2 linked regions of the Struthio camelus genome follow. The protein of the gene in region 2 purifies or fractionates together with the protein of the main gene of each other region. This does not show direct contact. Links are inferred from orthologs where the notes say so. Each region holds a gene or a part of one and is shown on either strand. Other genes may lie near its edges.

The links.
Region 1: the proteins of LZTR1 (region 2) and RIT1 purify together in Homo sapiens (affinity purification with mass spectrometry; 3 studies listed by BioGRID and IntAct, counting the BioPlex papers as one, with this or other methods). This does not show direct contact. The link is inferred for Struthio camelus from reciprocal best matches to the Homo sapiens genes LZTR1 and RIT1.

The regions. Positions count from the first base shown.
Region 1 is NC_090971.1:3,976,492-3,988,556, reverse strand, and holds the start of RIT1 (GTP-binding protein Rit1), read right to left. Parts: upstream 6,126-12,065; 5' UTR 6,097-6,125; coding exon 6,003-6,096; intron 5,599-6,002; exon of another isoform or gene 5,562-5,598; coding exon of another isoform or gene 5,489-5,561; coding exon 5,432-5,488; intron 4,470-5,431; coding exon of another isoform or gene 4,418-4,469; coding exon 4,344-4,417; intron 3,859-4,343; coding exon 3,667-3,858; intron 2,618-3,666; coding exon 2,387-2,617; 3' UTR 1-2,386. Other genes in the region: KHDC4 (KH homology domain-containing protein 4), read right to left, coding at 7,911-8,110, 9,109-9,200, 9,789-9,901, 11,099-11,254, 11,700-11,953.
Region 2 is NC_090965.1:3,045,549-3,057,298, reverse strand, and holds the start of LZTR1 (leucine-zipper-like transcriptional regulator 1), read right to left. Parts: upstream 4,944-11,750; 5' UTR 4,906-4,943; coding exon 4,730-4,905; intron 4,648-4,729; coding exon 4,585-4,647; intron 4,493-4,584; coding exon 4,436-4,492; intron 4,099-4,435; coding exon 4,019-4,098; intron 3,634-4,018; coding exon 3,525-3,633; intron 2,668-3,524; coding exon 2,584-2,667; intron 1,019-2,583; coding exon 961-1,018; intron 291-960; coding exon 151-290; intron 1-150. Other genes in the region: IPO9 (importin-9), read right to left, coding at 9,417-9,527, 10,102-10,178, 10,982-11,083, 11,600-11,719. UniProt on the Homo sapiens protein: Substrate-specific adapter of a BCR (BTB-CUL3-RBX1) E3 ubiquitin-protein ligase complex that mediates ubiquitination of Ras (K-Ras/KRAS, N-Ras/NRAS and H-Ras/HRAS).

The sequences.
Region 1 (12,065 bases), on a different chromosome or scaffold from region 2:
CATCAGTAAACACTTAACTGCATTGAAGGAATAATGTAAGGCACAGATATCAGTTATTTAAAGGTAAAAATAAATATTAGTCCCATACAGCTTTCAGAACTGTTGGCAGGTTACCATTTCTTATTATCTGAAAACTTCAAACGTAGGTAACTGACTAATATGTTAAAATTACGTATCAAGGAAAAGCAGGGGGAAAACTTGTCATCACGATTGGGCCTCTGTTTAACATTTCCAGAAAGCTGGTTTGGAATAATTTCTGTAACGACATAACTAGCCACTGAGCAGCATCTTAGTTGTCGTCCCCTCCTTCTCCTCAAAATTTCTGTTAGATAAAGATCCTAGGGAAACTAGCTAAGAGTTATAGACAGCATATAATCCGACAATGAATGACTAATAGGGCCTTAAGTTCTAAACTAATAACTGTGGAACAGATGCGCGCACCTGCTCACACAGTTACTTCAAAAGAGGTCTTACATTCTAAACATTCCAAATTATTCTTAACTTCTTTTTCAATTGGCATTTGTGAAATTATTACTAGCGCAGCATAACACTGGAGCTTTGGAAGTGAGAAACAGAAACCAATTTAAATGTTTAGTTCAGGTACAAATGTAATACAAAAAAAAAAAAAAATACTCCCCCTCCACATTTCTTGCCATAAAACGTTTCTGATTTTACACAAATAAAATATTCTTAAAAGCACCAGGCTTAGGATTTCCAGTGGCATCCTAAGTACTACAGAGTTTAGCAAGAAAGCGTAACGGTTTATACATTTGCTATCCTTGCTTCTTCTACTCGATCCTTTTTACACATGAACTTAAGTAGCTTCGTTTTGAATTTTGACTGCACTAGCATATGCAGCAGGCTAAGACTGACATTACAGATTTTATTTCTGATCAATGATATCAGCATAATTACCGACAAGGATGATCGAAGATTAGAAGCTATACTACATTTAGAGTCAATTTAAGCTCTTTTGTCCTTAAACTGAAAGATTTTAGGCACTTAATTTTGGTTATTTTAACCATGTCTGAGTTGCCTCACTGTGATTCATTATATTATTAAAAAACAAAATCAAAATAACACCCCTCTGTCACGTGATCTTTTTGCATTTGGACACCAGCTCTGGATTTAAATTCTAGAGCTGATGTATCATCTCAAAGCAGAACCATGATTTACTGAGCATACAGAAAAATCTCTGAATGCACTGACTGGACTGTATACATAGGTAAGGTCAGAGACGTGAGTTATCTGTCAGGACTGCCACTGTGGCCAGCTAATTGTTTTCTTCCGCTGGATCACCAATTCTACTCTTTTAAGAGCGTACTGGAAGAATCCTAACAGAATTAGGGATATTAACTCCGGGCCCAAATACCTGCAATACTCGGTTTCAGTCATCATCTTTACAAAGCAGTTGTTAGAGTAATTTGAAATGACTGTATTAGAGATTTCTACCTAACAAGGATACTGGCTCCTTTAAGAAAATAATGTTAAATTCAATGTAAATAAATAAGCCACCACACCATTACAGCTATGATTTTAACACACAAGTCAGAAAACTCAAAGCTGTAATTTCTAGCGCAACTACAGCATCATTATATCACGCACGCTATGGCAACACAATAAACGCTATATACAGTAGGAAAACGCTACATATTCATGCGTTGTTGCCAAGCTACAGCTGCCATAGGAACCATAACTTATTTTTTCTGACTTGTTTAGAATCCCAACTGCTTTAACGGTGAAAAATTAAGATAAACTTGTGTATTCCACGTTACTTGTGTATTAAGCTTGCGTATTCCACATTACTTACTTTTGCTGGAAAAAGTCTATTCAATGAGAACACAAGAATCCTACACTGACATCTATATATAACCTAGGCTGTTAGTCGCGACACGTGCTTTGTAAGCTACTTTTCAGCATGACCTCGACAAGCCGTCTCTCGTGATGTGGGTTACCGTTCCAAAAAGCAGCAAAATTTTGTTGTGCAAACAACTAGGAGAAAAAAAAATGAATTAAGTTAGGCTGGGAAGGAGTTTAACACTATTTTAAACAATTCAGCTTCCAGTATGCAGTGACCAAAGATGAACGTCCAAAAGTGCAGGGACACAAACCTATCAGCATTTGTAACCAACAACATGTGAGTAACGTTTGTTGGATCCAGTCAAAAACAACAACAAATAAAAGTAAAATCATTGCTGTGTCATGAGTTAAAAGATCCAAAATTAAGGGAATATCATTTTAAACAGAAGTAATCGGTAAATATTATGCCCTCCCTGATAAAAGTCCCAGCAGATTTAAAACATCCTGTCAAAATGTTGTCCCTAAGCCGCTTTGGTTACAAATGGCTGTTCACAGATTTTGTTTCATTTTGCAGAATTTTCTCTGTTCAAGTGACTGAATCCTTCTTCCTTCTAAATGGTGACTTTAGTCTTTTCCACACGCTGCTTTTAGGTTTGGATTTTTTTTCCATTGCCATTACTGCTTCTTTTTCTTTCCTACGGATTTCTCGCACAAGAGCATGAAATACATCATCAATATAGTAACGGTATGCAGCTGAAGTTTCAAAAAAAGGGCAGTTGAATTCTCGTGCTAAAGCAGAGCCTTCTTCTTTGGAGACCTTAAAAAAAAAAGTTCATATTTGTTAACAAAGCCAAAAAACCCAAAGTCTATTTCTTTACCTTTTCTTGTCCTGCTTACTTCATAATTGTGCGTGCAGCCTCCCAGTCCCAGAACAGCTCGGTTCCACTGATCTCTAAATCTTTCTCTACAAATCCATTTTTCTTGTTCCTTCACTCACCACTTCTCTAGAAACGCAATCAACTATGAGAGATTCTCTGAACAGGGCAGCTCTGGTCATTTATGAAACAACAACATCCGTTCAAAGAACATCACTTCCTTGGAGCTTAATCTAGAGGTTGCTTAATTTGAGCAGCCCTCAGCCCTAACACAAGCAGTTGTCAGTCAGTTCAATTCAGGGTTTCCTTCTGCTGGCCAGCACCCAATGCTTTTGTCAAATACTTCTTCCCAGAACTGAGCAAATGCTTTCCAAGGAAAGAGTTTTACGTAAGTCATGCAAAAGCACTGACTACCCATTCTACACACTAAACCTCTTAGCGCGGGTGTTCTACTGTAACTACTGTAATTTTCCTGCTGCTATGCACGCTGAAAACTCACTTAATTCCAGGTATACAAACACTACCTCTAGAACTTGTTTTCCAGATTACTTTTCCTTCCAGTGAAGCTCTGCTTCAGACTGTGTTTTCTCCACAGACAGTATTTACTGTTTCCTTAAGCTGAATCTCATTTTCCTTTCTGCCCCTTCTTATTGGAGTTCCTCATTATTACCCCCCTCTATTCTTAGCATACTTGCATCTATTTCATTTGTACTACTATTTGCAAGTGGCTTATGGGATGCTAAATCTTTATTAATAGACACTATTGCCTTTCAGGAATTATTAAACAAACAAACAAAAAACTAATAGCAATGGAAAACTAAGGTATCAAGTAGAGGACCTTACTTTTGCAATTACTACATGTATTTGCTCATTCAACATGTCCCAGATTCAACAAGTACTTTTACTAAATTAAGTTTACTACATAGCAAGCATACACAATTTAAGAAAGGGAACATCACCTCTTTTATTACTGTATTTTTGTGCCATTTACCTGCCGCAGCTGTGTCAGATCAGATTTATTTCCCACCAGGACCACAGGAGTGTCATCAGTACGCCGAACACGATAAATAAGCTGTTTGAACTCACGTACTTCATGGAAACTGCGTCGGTCGGTGATCGAGTAACAGATGATAAATCCCTCACCAGCCCTCATGTACTGGTCTCTCATGGCTGTAAACTCTGCCTAGAAACAGACGATTACGTTTCAGTTGCACAAATACAATGACTTCTAATTCGCTCACATCAGAGGAAACATTCCAAAGCATTCCAAAATAGCTGGACAGAAACTTTGCAAATAAGCTGGTTATCTATCTTCTTGTCCTGCTACATATGAGACAAGATATTATGCACATTTGGGATTAATGCTCAGTTTCCCTTGCTACAGGAATCACTTAAAAATGTCATTTATCAGGCAACATATATGGTTTGTAGAGCATGAATGGCAAAGATACAATGAAGAAAGCAAGATATGAAACAAGGATACCATTTGGACTACCTAGATACAGACAGTATGATGCAGACGCTATAAACAATGGGATACATGCAAGAAAAAAAGAAAGCTCATAAAATCAATCATACTGCATCACAAGCATACTGTTACAGGGTCTCTATGTATGGCCACTACAGACTTCTAAAACCCTCCCAATTCACTTCTTATTAGTCACATACCTGTCCTGCTGTGTCCAAGATATCCAGATTTGCAGGTTCATCATCAATGCGTATTCGTATTTTATAAGCGTCCTCTTTGAATTCACAATACATTAGGAAGAACAAAGTTGGAATACAATTGCAGTCCTCATTAGTCATGAATACAGGAAAAGTGTTACACAAAAAGGACTTCGTCAGGTAATATTACTACACTAAATTAGCCCGCTCTACACGTACAACAAAACAAAATATAACTGCTCAAGTATTATTTAGTATCCCATCCAGCTGCGTGCTAAAATTATTGCACCTGCTACTTCTGATAGGCAAGTGAAAACATCCTTTAAGTTCAATCTTGCACACCTTTGTGGAAAGCACAAGGTAGGAGCATTGCATTTTTCTCAAAGCCAGAAAATACCCACTGACTCAATAAAAGAATTATAATGGCCACCACCACCAACTGCCACTTTCTTAGAAGTGACACAATTTTCTGTTCCTCTAAACCAGTATTCTCACACTGAAACAGTCTGCTTTCAACAAGAATTTAGCTATTTTTCCTGCTTTTCCTTTGAAAGAGTAATTGTTGGCTAAGGTTTCTTTTAGAGATGCTGAAGAAACCAGTCACAGAAGATATGCAGCAATACAGTAAGCAGCTGAGCGTTTTCATCCCTTCCAAGTTAACTGGAAGTTTCTCAAACGCAGAGCACACTTTGGCCTGACAAACGCGGGGAATAGCAGAGAACTGACCTACGTTATGGAGACTTGATTTCTTGAATAGACTGCCAACAATTACCCATCAGCAGTTTTTTTTTTTTATCCTTGTCCACCAACACACAAACGCAGGTAATACATAGCCTGAATATAATAAACTTTAACGGTATACTCAATAGGGAAAACACTAATGATCGAAAACTCAGGATATGCTTCTCAGTCCTGACGGCAGTCTCAGAACTACTAACTCCTTAAATTAGTAGTCTAAGGGATTTTGAGCCCTCAATTTAGAGTCAAATTTATGACCTTCTTTAAATTAAGCACTTTAAAGCAATAGCTTCCACAGTAGCTTAATCTGGAGAGGGAGGGAACAGGAAAGGGAAAAGAGAGATTTTTCTCACCAATTGTGGGATCATGGTCCTCTGGAAATCGGTGACTGATAAACTGCATGGTCATGGCTGGAAACAAAAATTGGAGACTCTTACAGTCTTGGCAAACATCCACCACCTCATCGTTCAGTTCACAACACATTTAGGCACGTTATTTCACTAACAGCTAAAACATAAAGCTGACAGAGAAAAAAAACAGACTGAGCCCGAGACTGGAAAGAAACGTAACAGATGAAGCGCCGCTCAGAAACAACCGAGAACCATGCCCTCGACCACAGCGCCGCAAGTTTCCAGAAACAAAGCTGGAAACGCGGAAGATGATGACACAACCGCACGCTGGAGCCACCCCCGGGGCACCGGAACAGCGCGGCAACCCGAGCTGCTCTGCTGACGAACGCTGCTTCTCCTCAGCGCTCCTGCCCCCGGGCTGCCTGCTGGACGCAGCTGAGGCACAAGCGGCGGCACCGGCGGGAGCGGCAGCAGGACCGTCCCGCCCAGCCGGGTCTAACGGCCGCCGCTCGCGCCTCCCCCTCAGGCGCCGGATCGCCCCGTCCCGCCCCACCCGGGGGGGGCCCGCACGCACCGCTCTTGCCGACGCCGCCGGCGCCCAGCATCACCAGCTTGTACTCGCGGGACTGCCCGGGAGCGCCGACGCCCGGGCGGGCTCCAGCGTCCATCTCCTCAGCGCCGAGGGAACCAGCCGCCGCTTGAGGTAAGAGAAGAGCGTGAGCAACAGCCCCCCCCCCCACACACACACACCCACCCACCCCCGCCCCGCTCGGCTCCGCCCCGCCGCGCGCCACCCGCCCGCCTCACCACCACAGCCGGGACGTCAGACTCCTCCGCGCCGCATCCTCCCGGCCGCCCGCGCGGACGGACGGGGCCAGGGCGGGAGCCGGACCGACCCGCCGCCGCCGCCGCTTCGGCCCTGCTCGGAGCCGAGGCAGCGAAACCAAAATGGCGGCGGCTCCTGCTTCACCGCGAGCGAGCGCCCGGCGCCCCGCCCCCCACCGGCCACACCCCTCCGGGTTAGCCCCGCCCCCGCCAGCGGGAGAGGGCGGAGCCTCCCGCCCCTGGCCCCGCCCCGCCCCGCCCCGCCCGGAGGCTTTCTTCCCCCTCCCCGCGGGCACGTACTACTACTAATTATCTTTTTAAAACATTAAGGCAAACAGCAGGCCATAGGGGTCTGTTCCCATTAAACTTAAACGTCAAGGGGGGGGGGGAAGCAGCAAGAAGCAGAATATTTATACATTTATTTATAATGAAAGTATGGTTCTAATTATTTACAACACGTAGGAAAGAGCGTATGTTTATACAGGTGAGCCAGCAAGGTCCTCCAGTGTGCATAAAGGACACACCTTCCCGTTTCTCAAACTATTACTCCTGTCTTAAAAGTTGACCAGCACCTCTTCACAGTCCCACGCTCCAGTGGATGCACACATCATTGTTCTCAAAAACAAAAAAAAAAAAAGGAAAAAAGAAAGAAAAAAAAGTTCTGCAACAGCCAACAGCCTGCCCTGGCAGGAAAGGCCGTGATGCAGCGCGTGTCCATAAGCAATCCAACAGCTTAATTCAGAGGTTCCACTTCTGTGCTCCAATGCAATAACAACGCTTGCACTCGGGTCTCTGGCAATGTATACACCAGGTTGCTGCATTTCTTTGTTAAACCACCATGAAACAAAACTGGTAGAATCAAATAAGTGAATGAATTAAGAGTGAGAGAATCTTGGGAGAACCTCATGAGAAGTACTTCCATTTGAACTGCTGAATGGAATGAAATGTACAGGGATAATTTGAAAAGATTAAGTACCATGGATAAAGTACCAAGTCCACCTAGGGAGTAGCGGCAAGATGAACTGATTAAAAAAACTGAGCGTTTTTTTTCCCCCCCCCGATGACATTTAGCTAGAACCAAGAGTTATGGAGTTAGTAGAAAACACGTTTAAAAAAAGAAATGCTGAATTACAGGAGATGCTTAAAGTAAAAACAAATTAGGAATTTTAGGAAGCGTGATCCCCAAATTTTTCAAAACTACTGAATGTTCCTTTCTTTGTTGAAAGTCCAAACATTGAATCCGTGGTCAGCATTAGCTCAATGGGACTGCAAACAAGCTGACAGCAGGAACACTGGATAAGATACGAACACCAGATGTATAATGAAGTCAGCATTGCTGGCTCTTTCCGTTTAAGTTATCCTGGAAAGATGGGGAGCACAGGGAGAGACAGGCTTCCCTAGCTTCTCCTTATAGTACTTCCCCCATTTTATAAGGGACTTCCCATGCCAAAATAGTATTTCAAGTATTTCTCATCATTGACAAATCCACCGCAGGAACAAGGATTTAAAAAATAATGGAGCCCTTTCAAGAGGGAATACTGAAGCTTTAGCTTCTGCAAATGTAAAAACAATGCGTATTTGCAAAGTTCATTGTTTAATATACATGCATTATTGCTAGAGGGAAAAAAAAAGACATATGAAAATTGTTCTGTAGCCTTTATGGTGCCATCCAAAATGGCATCTGTTGTTTAGCTCGCTGTTGTGAAGAAGGGTACTGGTATCCCAAACTCCATCCCTGTGAAAAAGTACTTGCATTTTTATGGCCACCATGTTCCTCCTCTTCATCTGATGAATCTCCAGCATATGCCACCAATCCAAACCCCTTTTCTGCAGTTTTCATCTTCTTAGCTTGATGATCTAGGAGGGGAAAACAAAACAACCAAACCCCAAGAAAAAAAAAAAACAAAAAGAAAAAAAAGAAAGAAAAAGAGAGATAAAATTCCCCCAAACAAGTTAATTAAAAAAAAAGTTAATTGTAAATTGTTAGTTGGACACCATTTTGAGGTCACAAGGCCAATGGTCACCCAAGGTCGAAGGCCACACGAAACAGCACCAGCAACAGCACATGTGATCCATCAGAACCATGTAAGAGAACAGAGAAAGAAGAAAGAAACACACAAAAAAGGTAAAGTTAGCAAATGGGTCTAAGCGGTAGCAATTTCACCGTTAAAGAGATAACTATGTAAGAAAAGTAGAAATTTTGTTCAAAAGAAATTTAACAGAAGAGCAATCTCTGGGACCAATACTGCAGAAAAACTAAGGTTAAAACAGACTAACGTGACGGGCCTGCAGACCTAATGTGAAGGCGCTATTCAACTACTAGGAGATGTAGTGATCACGTGTTTCCCTCAAGTTACAAATAATTGATGTATGAAAGCCCTATGAAAGGATGAACTCTAACAACACTTCTGTTGTTTGCAGGCAAGGTGGACATAACTCATGTCTATAAATGCACACCTGAACCGTAACTCCCACAGATGTTCCTTAGTGCCTCTAGAGACAGCCTTCACAATGTAAAGCCACGTGATATCTGTGTTACAAAACAACCCCATGAGATTGTGCCTCAGTGGACTGAGAGGACAAGAATCCCAGTCTTTTCTCCTCCACTTAATCACCTCCTCACATCTTCCATAACAATACTTTTTAAAGTATATAAAGTTTTAAGAGAAGCACCATGTGTGTATAGTCAAAGTGAACACATATGATTTTTTGAGCAGTGGAATATGACCTCTCTTTCACTTAAAAACACACTGTAAAGAAAAAAACCCACCAATTTGTTTAAATCTATGTAAAGATCAGAGCAAACTTGTCAAGTTCGCTTTTCCACATAAATCTGTTTTATTCACTACACTCACCATGGTTGCCTGGTAAAGACCCCGCGCCATTTCTTTCTTCAGATTCCGATTTCATCCCAGTGACAGGAAAAGCTGGTGGAGGCATCAACTGCCTGTTTAAACCAGTGCAAGTACTTATTATTTCTAAAACAAGCATAGAGTCAAAGGTCGTTTTATTTTTAGGCAGTCTGCATTGCTTTACAGTGCAAACAGAAATCAGTCCCTGAGTGGAGTGGTTTAACTTTTAGTTGCTCTCATTGCATTTGGTTTAAAAAAGAAAAAAAAAAAAAATCAGGATGACAGATTAAAAACGGATAAAGGTTGCAGCAAATAGAATGTGTGGTTCCCTTTTATACACAGCATCTCAAAATCTCAAACTTAATGTGCATAGACAAAAACGTGAAATATGGGATAAGGTACAGTTTGAGCTAAAACTCTTGACAGAGTAATCAAGTTACATGATGATCCTTAAGAAACAGTCTCTTAGATGAATTTGGGACATCTATCACTGGCTCTGTAGCTGAATCTCCTTGTTATTGCCAGTTCTCTCATCCCTTAGGGGCTGTAAAAACCACAGGTCAGCTTTGAAAACTCCCCACATGAGTAATAATACAACTTTCATATTTCACCCTACCTCTTATATTTTAAGAAAAGCTTTTCTTCAGAATCAAAGATCCGATCATAATCCTTTCATCACTTACCTGTCCCTCTCTCTCTCCTTTCCTGAGGAACTTGCTGGCTTCGATCCTGCTCCATCGATTTCACTCTGACTGGAGAAGCCTGTACCTAAATTAGTCATATGAATGGGTCCATGCTATGAGCAGAAAAACACACGGCATTAGCAAATCTACAACTATAACATAAGCTATAGCTCCTTAACGATAATGATAGGAAACCCAACTTTTCAGAGTATATTGCCAACTATAGAACAAGTTAAGTAGTTCCTGACTACTTAGCAGCCACCAAAAAAACGTAAGCTGGCTATTAAAGATATGGAAGAAGCTACTAATTGCCAGTTTTAAACAAAATGCTTTGTCCTACTAATACTGAAAAAGCTAATCTGGTGCTCAGGCATGTTTCCAGCTAAGATGGAAGAGACCTCATTGACTAGTCCATCTTCCCAGTAGTTCAGGACAGAGAGCAAGTCAAATTTACGAACTAAGCAGCTACCTCCTCAATCAGCTAATTCTCTATGGTATTTAGACCTTACGCCACAATAAACTCTGCTGAGACACTAATATTACATCTTATATATAGGCAGTTACTTATTTTCTCTAGGCAAATCTTTTACTAAGGGTTTCTGCCTAAGGCCAGTTAGGTAAAATTCCACAACGACAGTTTAGAACGATGAGGTGGAGAGCATGGCAGGGAAGGGGAGCCTGCAGGAAGAGGGAAAGGAACTCCCTTTTACTAATATACAAGTCTGAAGAAAAACTCAAAGTTACTTTATTAAAGAAAATAAACAAAAAAGCCTACAGCTGTATTAAAAAAAAAAAAACCCACCATACACACCACACACACACTTTGGCTATCTAAAAAGCCCAGCCCATTAAAATTAGGCTTCTTGTAATCCTCTCAAGTGCACCCTGCAGGGAAAGGTAGCTGGAAAATCTAGAGGTAACCACTACATTCACTTCCCCCTCCCCAACAAGCCCACTGACAAGGCCCACAAACAAACAAAACCCCCAAATAACCTCCCCCTAAACTAACCATTGACACCCTATTGTCATCTCTTTGGCCTGAAGGGACTGCTTATCTTCATGAAAGAATGCAGGTAAAGAAAGCAAGCTACCAATGAATCAAATAAGGGACTGTTTAAAAACAGTGCATCTGCTCAAAGAAACTGAAGTGTGGTATCTCCAGATTTCTTAACAATTACTACCATCTGCCAAAAGTCTTGCACCTCTGTTTTTAAAAAAAAAAAAAAAAAAAAAAAAAACAAACACTGACGACCCCTCTCTAGCAAAGTTTGGTTTTGGCGTTGGAAGTAAAATTGCTGATTTTATTCCACCTGATATCCCAGCAGTCCTGATTCTCTTTCATCTGGTAGCTCCTCAGTGAAGCGTCTCTTTTGACCTTGGGAGTGGGGCTGGACTTGTGGCTGTGTACCAGCAGGCAAGGTTGTTTTTACTGGGGCAGCAGGAAGAAAAGGACCACTCAGTGGACTCTGGTATGCAGAAGTTAAAAAAAGAAAAAGAAAGAAAAAACAAAGTATAAATTCAATGTGCAGATTCATATATAGCATCAGAATACACATTTAGTTTATAGAATGCTTCCACCTTAAAGCAGTCACTATATGTAATTCAAGCTCATTTTACCTACATAACGGTATCACAGTCAGCAATAACACTTTTCATAAATGAGTGATTTCACCCCAAACATCCTTTATGTTAATAGGTAGCTCAAAAAAATGCAATAAGCAGCAGCCATAGCAGCAATTTAGTTCCTTAGATAATAAGAGCATGAGCAAAGCCATAACCAGAGAAATTGTTTATGCATGCCCAAAAGAAGAATTTCTTGACCTATAACTGCTTTAAGTATTTCATTGTTAGTAAAGAAACAGCTTAGTAAGCTGACAACTATACACCCAAGTAATTTATCTGTGGCACTACCTGGCCAGTGCTGGCTGGAGGCTGTACTTGAGATATTGGATATTGTGTTGGCACAGGTGGAACTCCTGTAGGCAATGTTGTTAAGACTCCCGGTGCCAATGGTACTGCAGGTGGTACTATGCCTGGTACACCATACGGTGGCTGAACCGGTTGTTGAGGAGGGGGAACGACAGGATAACCAGACTGATAACCATTTGAAGGATAATACGATGGCTGAGAAGGTACACTGTTTATAGCAGCAGGTTGTGCAAAGCCTGGTGGGTGGGGGAGGGGGGGAAAGGGAGGGGGTTACTTTCAGTTCAGTTAAATTCACAAAAACGTTAAATTTATTACCAAATGTAAAAGCAATTGTGCTGCTTTTCAATT
Region 2 (11,750 bases):
TTCTTTTTATCTTATTTGAACTGGAAACTATCTACCTTTCTCAGTCATGAGATTTAGTATTCTTCCTCAATACTTTTAAGTACTTGCATTTCTCAGTTCAAGTAGTCAAGGATTATGAGGATATTGTTTGACTTAATTGTCTACACTTACATTTTTTCCTTGAATTCAAACTGAAAGAGATTATTGGTAATCTTTGCTCCACTCTGGCCAGAAAAAACAAACATCTTGTCTTTGCAAACAGCTACAGGAAAATTACAGCATGAAGGAGGGATCTCACCACTTTGCTCAATCTGAAAGATAACAAAGTTCAAAAAAAATAAATCGGTTTTCTCTTTGGAGTGTGAAATGCTAGATTTTCTCTCTACTAGCAGAAGATGACACCCAAAGTGTCAAAACAAACCAAGTATTTTTGTAGTGCAAAGCTACGCATGTTGAAGTATGCTGTAACCCATGTAATACAGCAGATAAAGACAGACCACATAGTAGCAATCCTTCCAGACAATCAAGACCCCATAAATTTGTCTAAAGTTAATTAACTAATGCTGCGCCTGCACATCTGCACAAACTAATTTTACCAAAGAAAAAGAAAGGCTAGAAGGGTGTACTTTTAAAGCTCCTGACGCTGTAAGGATCACGACTCTGATCTTGATAGCTAGTGAGCAAAGTTTCCAGTCTACGGCAGTGACTGAAGTGGGAAATGCAGTCCTTTTTTCATAAGTGGCATAAAAAAAAGTCCACTATTGGCAGACTAGGTCCTGCTCACATATTCAGAAGCAAAATCATACTTTCATACACACCTCATTCTCTGGACAAACAAAAAACAAATTTGAACACTGTTTCTTTTCATGCGTGTGACATATATAATGGAGAGAAATATGATCTAACATAGTAAATTTTAAATGAACGTATATGAAAATTAAAAAAGGAAATTCTGTGTTATTTCACCTTTAAGCTTCTTACCTCTTCCCAACACGTCAGCTCTCTGTCCTGTAGGCCAATCGTCCACATATCATTTAACCTAAATTATAACAAAAAATACCTGATTTGAAACCGTTTATTGGTGGTTATTTTTAGCTTATGGAGTTGAAAGGACAAAACACATATTTCATCAGCATTCCTCCTCCTGCACAGGAAAAATCTGCTATTTCTCCTAGCAGAGAAACCTATTGGAATATTTTTGTCCTACACCTAAAGCTTATACCACCATCTATCATCTCCTATAAGCCTCCTTCAGCATCCTTCTGGTTGGTTGTGTGCTACAGTTGACAACTATAAACTGCAACTCTGCCTGGAGCTTAAGGATTTGAAAATTTAATCTTGGAGATTTTTACAGAAATTCCCCTTATTATCCTGCTTTCTTTCACCTACTCTTTCACTTACACCTACACCTAAGCCCTGATACCGACCACAGTAATTAGTTATGTGGCTGAATCCTGCCTCAAATACATAAAAGGATGAAAAGGGTAACCTGACACTTCACTGACTACTGCATAGGACTCTGCTGTTTCCAGTACAAGTTACTCGCAGACGATCACAAACATTTCTTTAGTTGAAATCTGCCTGGAGGTGCCTCTTCCACAAAAACATATTTTTAACACGATCTTGGTAAAATAGATAGCTCCTCTCACCCAATCCCACCTTTCAGCTATCCAAGGTCCTTGGGGAATTCCTTAAGCTGGAACTAAGCAACTCCACAGACTCATTCATCTTTCTCAAATTCCTCTTCTAGAAATAAAGAAAAGATCCCATATGCTTTTTCCATATGCATTGCAAAATGTCCACAAAAATTTCCATTTAACTGCAGCTCTCCTGGAGACTGTGAGGAGCTGGTATCTTTTTTCCAGATTCTCATCGGAAGAAAAGGCAGCCCAGTAAGTTGACGCACCTCCTAGTTCATGCTGATTTCTGTATGCTTTGCTGATGCAAATACTGTGCATGATCATAAGAAACTTCTCATCTTCACCAAGATAGAAAAAAAAAAATGCCTGTGCAGAACTGATTCTTCCCCAAGGGACTGATAGCAACAGTGAAGAACTTGCCATCTGGAACAAAGCACCAGAATTCTCCCTAACTTCTCAGCACCACTCACTTCCAGTCTTTTCTTATCCAAAATCTCATCTGCCTTAGAAGCAAACAAGTCTGTCATCTCAGTGCAATATCCCACCAGAAGTGCCACATGTTTTCAGAGGAAAAGCTGGCATATTGTTTTCAGTTCCATCATAGGACTTCACAGAAAAACCCTGCTTTTTTCCTCAAAGCTTGTAGCAACATCAGAAGGCCTGTGGCATATTGGAAAATGCTCACTTGCCAAATCCAAAGATCACTTAGCATCCTCGCAATCAAGCAGGTGATCAGTTTATGCATCCTCAAACATTCCGAGTCACCAGCTTTTTAATGTATACTTATGTGAACATGAGCCAGTGAATTGCAAAGGTCTACAATGCTCATCAATAAGCTAGGCTTCGCAAAGCTCTAGTTATGTGTTTAAAACACTTGGAATAGGAAAACATCTCTACGGAAGTGAAAAGTGAGTGACTGGGATGTTACAAAAGGGACCAAGGAGAGAGTGATGCCGTTACTTACCGCGCATTGCCATCATATCCTGCAAAGATCCACAGCTTGTCGCTATACACTGTTGCACCATGAGCTGACCTCGCAACTGGCAATCTGCAATTGAGGAGATTTAAAAATAATTAAAAAAAAAAATCTTAACTGACCAGGAAAGGTGCTATAAGGATCTGCATCATAGCTAAAACACACATTTCACAAGAATAAAAGCTCCCTATATTAAATGCCTTCAAGCTAGGAAATTGCTACTGTCATACACTGTCAAAGCACACAAGAAGAAGCCCTTGTCCAGGGCTGCAGAACTTTACACTCTGCTTCCTTCATGAGAAAAAATTATCTCAAAAAACCAAAAAAAATCCAATGAATTCCTTGCCAATCTTCAAACGTTCTTAAGTATTTTTTGAAAGCTGGCTAAATTGTAGAGGACAATATCATTGTCATTATGGCGAAGTGGCAATTTACATGCGATAAAATAATCCTACGTGTATTTTCACCTACTAAGAAGGTGGAATGCATAAATGAGATCAGGGTCAGAGCTCACAATATATTTTTGGGATCGTTTAGTCATAGCATTCATGAGATACAGTGCCACAATAAAAAATCAATCCTATGATTTCTTCTCCCTAATTTGTGTTGTTTTTACCAAATCAATCAAGAAGTGCTGTACAAAACTGTGACGCCACAAGTCCAGGAGACATAACGTTAGCTTGTTTGAGAAGGTAGTGGTCATTTATGCAGTATGCAGACCTGCAGCTGCGGGGAAAAGCACAGCTTTTAAATGTGCTGAATTTTTAAATGTTCTTATTGATTCTTTACAATCAATGTAAAGGACTGTGCACAGTCCTAGCACTTTAATACTAACAGTGTAACTATTTGTAACTATGTGCTACTGTAAGTACTTGCTGAGTAACACCCAAGTCCCCTTGAAGAGCGGGGCAATGATGCCAGCTCCTTACCTGCCTTCAGTCTTCCACTCTGTCCATTGTCCAGTTGCAAATTTATATTCAAAAAGATCGTTTTTATTCTTCAAGTTGGAATTGGAATAAATGTCTCCAGTATAGCCACCTGGGCAATAACAATTTTATTAGACTATTTCAAGAGAGCATATATACTTGTAGTCAATATATTAGAAGAAATTTAAGTTTACGTCACTCAAACAAAAGTTATTTGACTGCTGGAACGCTAAACATGGGAGGCTTGTCCTCCAACCTTACTTCTATCCCTAAAGAAATGCTACGGCACTGAGCTTCAAGTTTTCTTTACCTTAGACAAAAGAGTAAAGCTATTTCAAAGCTAAGGTCCAAATCACAGTCAACCACGAAAAACACCAGCTTTCCTATTGAATGAGATCCTCTTGACGCTCTGTAGGAAACACCTTGCTCTGTTTTAAGAGAGGACAGACACATCTATCGTCCCAAGGGCACGCAGCTGTAACCTGCCGCTGTCTTACCAAACACAAACATGCTGCTCCCATAGACCACAGCCGAATGGTGGTATCGCGGTGCTGGCGGCGTCCCCGTGGTAAAAGCCCTGTGCAACAGTTAGAACAGTGGCAATCAAACAACACTGTCGCGCTTCGGGCATTCAAAGCTGCTGTGCGGGTTCAACGCGGAAACAGGCGTTAAGAGTTATTCTACCGGTCGCGAGGGGGCATTTTCACTCTTTTTGGTTTAACTACGTGACCTAAGATCTGGTGCTAGACTAAGAGTGGTAAATAAAAGCTGCATGCTGGGGCCGGGGGGCTCGCCCTCCGCGAGGGGCTGTGCAGAGCCCCCAGCCGTTACACCCAGCATAACGGCGCCGCGGGGGGACGAGGCGTCTCGCAGCCGCGCGGGGCGGCAGAGGGCCGGGGCGCAGCGCGGCCCACCTGCACCAGGAGCAGTCCTTCACGTCGAAGCGCAGCAGGTCGTTCAGCATCGTCTTCCTGCGGGAGGGACGGGAGAGGCGGCTGAGGGGGGGGGGGGCGGCGCGGCGGCCCCGGCGGCCCCGCTCCCCTCGGCCCCGCCGCGGCCTTACCCGTTGTCGCCGCCGAAGACGTAGATGGCGTCCCGGTAGGCCACCACGGTGTGCTTGCTGCGCCTGCGGGCGGCAGAGAGCGGCGGTCAGGAGCCGCCGGGACCCACCACCACCCCCCGCCGCCGCCGCCGCCGCCGCCGCTCACCGGGCCCCCACGAACTCGTCGCAGGGCGGGAGGCGGCGCCACCGGTGCACCGTCTCGAAGGGCCCGAAGTTGAGGGTGAGGTACTCGACGCTGTCCGAGCAGCTGTGGTCGAAGTCCACGCTCGGCGCCACCTTGGAGCGCCCCGCGCCGCCCGACGGCGCCCCGGCCGCCGCCATGGCCCGCGCCAGCCCCGCCGCCGCGCACCAACCGGCGAGCCCGCCCGCCGCGGGACTACAGCTCCCGGCGTGCCCCGCGACTACAGCGCCCGGCTTGGCTCGTCCTCCCGCCGCGGGACTACAGCTCCCGGCGTGCCCCGCGACTACAGCGCCCGGCTTGGCTCGTCCTCCCGCCGCGGGACTACAGCTCCCGGCGTGCCCCGCGACTACAGCGCCCGGCTTGGCTCGTCCTCCCGCCGCGGGACTACAGCTCCCGGCGTGCCCCGCGACTACAGCGCCCGGCTTGGCTCTACCGCCCGCCCCGCGGCTACAGCGCCTGGCACGGCCGTTCCCTCCGCCGCGGGACTACAGCTCCCGGCGTGCCCCGCTCCGGGGCGGGGGGCGCACCTAGGCAGCACGTAGCGGCGGGTTCAAGTCCCACGCCCGCAGGACCAAGGGTGGGCAGGTGGGTGGACCCGCAGCGCTCCAGCCTGCTCCTGGCACGGCAGGGAAGGAGCCGCACGCACCTTGCCAGCTTCTCAAGGGGTCCCGAAAGTCATTTTCCTCATTCAGTCCAGCAGCCTGGGCTCCACAGGGGCCAGAAGGCCACCCAGGCCTGCTCTGGTGCCCTATAGCAACCCCACGCCGCAGGCGGGATTCATGCGAGGTGGCCGCACGCACAGGCGGCGCAGTCACAGTGCCCAGCTGCTGGCCCAGCTTTGGAGAACAAGGGCCTAAAACACCTTAACCAGCTCTGTGCGCTGCAAGAGTCAAACCCCAAAGAGGCAAAACACCCTTCGAAGCAGGGCGTCAGGCCTGGCCCGGCCCGGGATGCCAGATTGGCGCAGCTGAGGGTGCTCTCCCTCCTCGTTACCAATCTCTGTAAGACTCGGAGGCAAGGCACGCTTATACATTAAAAGATTTTATTAATACAAAAAAATACCAAGAACAATACTCATGAATAGGCGTAAAGTCTCCATCCAGAGTCACAGCTGATTGAGTCACTATTTAAATTATATTCTGTGGCTATCGGACCTTCATGCTATTCTAGCAAGATAAAACCCAGTGTGCAAAAACACAATTGGCATCTCCTCCGCGAGGAGCTTTGACAAGGATGCAAAAGTGCCAGGCACTGATTTCGGAAGTGGCAAAGGCTCATGGATGTCCAGTAGTAGCCTCAGTCCCATCCTTCTTTTTAACTAAGTATAAAAGGGAGCTTGGTTTTCATAACATGGAGTTAGTAACCTTTAGTGAGGGTTAGTTTAGTTTCTTTTCACAGTACACAAGTAAAATGGGCATTCCACATCTCAACACTAGACCTTAGACAGCTTTCCAGACATTTCACCGTATTTCATCCTGAGCAATTACCTCACGCTACTGGCTCAGATTTATTTCAGCAAAGCCGATGACCCTCCAGTCATCACTTGTTTAAAGATATATAGTGTCACATTCTGAGAATTTTTAAAGGGAGGAAGAGAACACAGGGAAAGCAGAAGGCAAAGGAGTAACATCAGTACAGGCACCCATGGGACCACTTAAGGCTCTTTCAACCATCTCCATCATGCACTGTAGCTCTCATCCTTTATTCAGCCTCTCTCCTATGGGAAGCTCAAGTCAGTATATTTCTTGCCTGAAAGCGTCCTGCACGCTGTGAGTTTGCTTGCAGTGGAGCACCCGCTGTAGACAAACTAGGCTGTTCCTGTTCCCCTTGACCCACAACACGCAGACAGGCCCAGGATCATCTCAAAGGCTGCTCCCAAACTGAATTTTAAATCAGCACTCTTGCATAGTGGCACTGCACTTGGTCAGCTCATTCTGCTGGAAGGGGCCCAGGTGGGTGCACATGAACCAAATGCAACAGGAAGGACAGTGCAGAGCACTAGTTCCCAAAGAGCCACCATTTCCCCCCCCCACTCCTTCCCATCTCACTGGTTGCACTCCTGGAAAGAGCAAGCCCTTGATACCTGCAAATCAAAGAGCAGCTTCTAACCAATGCACTGAAGAGCTCCGATAGGAACTCTGTAAGAAACTGCCCATCACTTACTCACGGGACCCTGCAAATCCAAAGAAATCCTTAGATACAACTCAGGATGAGGAATGGTGCTAAGCTGCACCCATTTTTCATGTTTTTGCTTAAACTCGTCATCCAACTTGATGCACCTTAAGGGTGCATAAAGCAAGTACAGTTAAGGCACACGAGTCAACTTCCAACTGAAAGCACATGAACCCTACCAGCCCCTCTCCACAAAGCCCTAACGAGCCAGACAAGTATGTGGTCCATTTCTTACCGATGCCTAAAGCACATCCAGGTGCTTTCAAGTGTTAGGTATCCACTTACCTCAAACAATGAATGACTATTTTCAAGTTCTGCTGTCAGTTCCTGGGGTAAAGTATTTGATAGCCCTTCTTAATTTTGTAACTTGCAATGAAAATTTAGATTTGGTCTTCACTCTTCTGTTCCATTGACTTACAAACTGTTTTCATGCAGTACAGGCCCATTCCGATATTCAGGGGAGGAATGTCAGCTAGCAAACATGGTCCTGTCTCTTCTCTCAGCTGGGACTGGTCACTCAGTTGATCCTTTTGTACAGCTATCAGGCACTGCAGCCATCTATTTCTCAGTTTCCTCATGAGACTGCACTGCTTAGTTTAACTTGTCAGCCCATTTCAATGAAAGCTATGAGACACACGTACCTCGAACAAAATTCCTAGAAGACTTGGCGGGGAGGGGGAGACTAGAGAGGAGACAGAGCCACAGCAGAGCGCACACTGAAGGGAAGGCCATGGCACAAAATTGAATTAGTTTTATACACCAGAGAACCGACAGGGAAGAAAAATTGAGACTCAACTGCATGGAAACTTTCCAGAGCTCATACCTTTAGAATTAGACACAGACTAATCCAAAGCCACAAAAAATAAAATCAGGCTTCATAAATTCTACTTGCCATGGAGTTATTCATAGAAAACTACTGAGAAATCAAAGATGGGACAGATCAATCTACAGGCATGTAGCAAGACGTGTGGGATTCCCTCTATTTCTGCTTGTTCTTAGGCACAACATGAGGGCTTTAGGCATGAGAGGGGAAGCAATGTCAGCTTTAGAATTTAGTGTTATTTTACCATTATCCCACATATGCTAAACAAATTGTGTTGTGCCATCTTTGTTCATTTAAAAAAAGTAATTCATCACCCCCTGCTGGTAAGAAAAGTGAAAAGCCATACGGTAAATTAGACCAGTAAGATGCATACATATTCCAGCTCTTTGGAAGCTTTTAAATACAACTTCAAAGCATTTTATTCCACAAAGGAACAGCAAGTACCTTTCTTAAGAAAGGAAACTCTATAATGGATCACTCTTTCTTTTAAGCAGAAGATGATGTAACCATTACAGGACTCCCTTTCTGTCCAGATGACTCCTGTGAAATACCCTAACAACCTCCAGGTGGCACATATAGGAGATCTCCTAAGGAGAAATATGTCTTAAAAAGCAATTTCGGGAAACAAGTGCAATTTCCTTTCAACTCTGTCTTATAAGAAGGATACCAATGTATATTTTAATAGTTTTATTTTAATTTTCCCCAAGGGGGAACCAAAGGCAGAGAGGTGTTGTGAGATACATCACGCTGTTCTTATGGGTAAATCAATTTGTAAATGTTATTTTACCACTCTATAAAAATACACACAGGAGTGTGAAGGAAGCAAAGTAGATCAGAGTGGCTGTTATGGAGCAAATGCATTAAATATAATCAGATTTTCCCCCTAAAAATTGTGGCTCCTTGTGTTCCATAAAACCAAAGTCTTTAGTAGCCACATGCCACAGGAACAGAAATTAAGTGGTAGCTTCCTTTAAGCATGTGCACACAAAAGCATTAGTAAAGAACTGCTCCCATGGGACTAGAGAGTAGATGTGAGCAACAAAGCTCCATCCACACTAGGAAAGAAGATATGCAGTTATTTTTATTGTCTCAGCTTCCCATCCAAACTCCTGTAAACAGGTTCCATACCATTCAGGCATCTCTGATAAAAGAGTCTATAGTTCTATAAAAAGAAGTCACACTGTAAGATCCAGATATTTACCCTGTATGTGTTATGTGAGCACAAAGAGGAACAACCTTCCAATTTCAAGACACATCCAAGCAATTTGTAAGTGACCTGATTCCTTTCTCTGTCCATCTGTGCTGTGTGAAATTCAGTTTAAGTGCCTCTTGACAGGCAGAGACAGTTTGCTTTTAAAAATATTTAAGGACACATTCTTTTAAGAACTTCCTGGAACATTACTGTGGAAAATGAAAGTGCTCCCTTGGTGAGATTAATGTGCAAAGCTCTACAGACTTCCGTCTTTGCTGCTTGCTTAGTATTCCTTCCCTTAGCAGATTCATGATAAGATGAGGCTCAATACTTCGCAATGAGGCCCATCATCCACCTGTAACAAGCAGGTGGACACTGGAAAATGTTTCATGTTTAATCATAAAACGTGGAATAAGCCAGAAAAATATTGTTCAGATATGATCAGTATGGTCTCTTGATTGGGTTTATATACCAATGGCCTGTAACACTCGCTTTTCATTCTCATTGAGATGGTCTGAAAACATTGCATAGCACGGCTGCTGTGCAAACTGACACAGGAAGTCAGTGAGATAGGCCTAAAAAGAAGACAAAAAGATCAAGTTAGCATTGCTTCACTTTGGAAATTCTGTTTCTTTCGTGTATCAAAAGGTAAAACTAACATACACCAAATAAAACAAAGGCAATACAGGGAACGTGGAGAAGGGATGCAGAAGGACGGGAGGCAGCAGAGGGGAAAGGCTGGTAAACAGCTTCCAGGTGGTGTTAAAAAGCAGGGTCAAAGTATTGCCCAGGAACTGTGACTGGATAGGAGCACCTCCAAGTGGAACATTCAAGTTCTGTAACGTTCAGTCTCCACCAGCTTTTGATCTCATCAAAGAGCTACGAGGAGCCTCAACCCCTGCCCACAAAGGGTCGTTGATTCACATTTCCAAATTATAGATATTGCTACAATAAGAAACAATGGCTCAGGGCGTTCTTTGGATACTCAGCACTTCCCAAAGCAATTTCAATAAACTGAGTACATTCAGGACAACAATCGTTATCCGGTGTCAGCGGTGTTTCGCAGTTTTGTTCAAGTACAATATAAAAAATAAAATTTATAGAAAATGATAGAAATCAGATAAAAAAAGAATCATTCTAGAGCATCACCTGGAGATCTATTTGGTAAAGAGGGTCCTTTAATGCATCTGGATCGTCCTCTTCATCATCTTCATAGTAATCTTCATCTGTCAGAGATAAATCAGCAGGTTTTAACATTGAACAGATCAAAATATTTCAGGAAGCATCCTATTAGACTATTGCTAAGATCTAAGGCTCCCCAGGAGCGCTGAAACCATTTGCGTAAGAAGTCCTGTATCCAAAATATATTCCCTTATATATTTAAAATATTCCCTTATGTTTACACGGTTAAACCCCTCCCCCCCCGCCCAAAACAAGAAGGGTCACAGTGGGAGTTTCAAGGAATGCACAGGTGAGACTAGCACACAAGAGATACTGCACGAGTTTGTCGTTAGTTACGTGCACTCATGCCACATTTGCATTTCTGTACTGCTGCTAAAGTACTCCTTTATTGTATTACCCTGTGAGGTTCTCTAAGATTATATGCAACCTGGAGAGCTGAGGAAAGGAGGTATTATACTCACTCCCTGTTCTTTCTACAGCAATTATTTCTCAAGATCACCCTACAAACAAGTTCATCCACTGCTCTGGCACTGTCATTTCAAGGTCGCATCTACATCCTTGAGCAATTTTCTCTTTAAAAGAGATATTTGCATGAACCTCAAAAAAAAATGAAGGTCTACATAGTTTTTGAACTCGCCATGTGGAAAAAGCGGTTAATCAATCATAAGTGTAATTCAAGGACATGTCCCTCTTTTCCAGAAAGAGACCCTTATTCAAAATCCCAGTGTAATATTCCCTTCCTTGCCTGCAGTCTCTGTTGAGCTGCTGTCAAGAAAAGGTAACTTTCAGAGTAGAATGCCATCTAGTCTATTCTATTTTTGAGTAGCACTTTAAAGCTGTAACTTACCATACTTGTTTGTGGAAAGAATATCTGATAAGAACTGTCCTGCTAAGCTTTCATCTTCATCCTCATCTTCTTCTTGATCCTCCCACATATCATTCGAATCATCTGTTTAGAAAACAAACATTTCTAGAAGATAAGCAAAATCCAACAAGTCAGCCCGTCAATCACCCCTGTAAGGGACTCTACAGCTTTTAGGCAAGCCTCCCTGCTTGTTTATGTGGGTCCAGAGAAACGCACACAACCGTTAATATTCTTTTGGAATGAGTGGTTCACAATAGCTAGAACTGGCAAAAGGAAGCTGCAAGAAAGTATGGCCAAAGTAGGGAGGAAGGAAGGGGAACCAGATAGTCTGAGCAAAGATAATTTTCCTTTATAGGCATATGACCAGATCCCGTTTTCCAGATAGACTGGTCAAAAATAATATTCAGTTATAAGAACAGATAACACTGACTGATCTTATCCGTTGGATCACCATTTAAGCCTTTATAATTATAGGTATAATATTTACAGCTGTCAGTTCTTTACTGCTCTAAATGCTTCTGAAGAGATTAAATACTTTTGCTAACTGGGCAAGTGGATTTAAGCCATGCAAAGAGGTAAAAACCAACCCTCGTGTCTTACCTTGACTCCAGTCTGCAGTTGTCTGTCTAGATGCATTTGCTTCCATTGCATTAGAGAGTTCATTTATTATTAATTTTAAGATTTTTACTAACAAAGGAATGTTTGTCCAGCGCTCAGGATCTATAATAGAGAGAGGAAAAAACATATATAT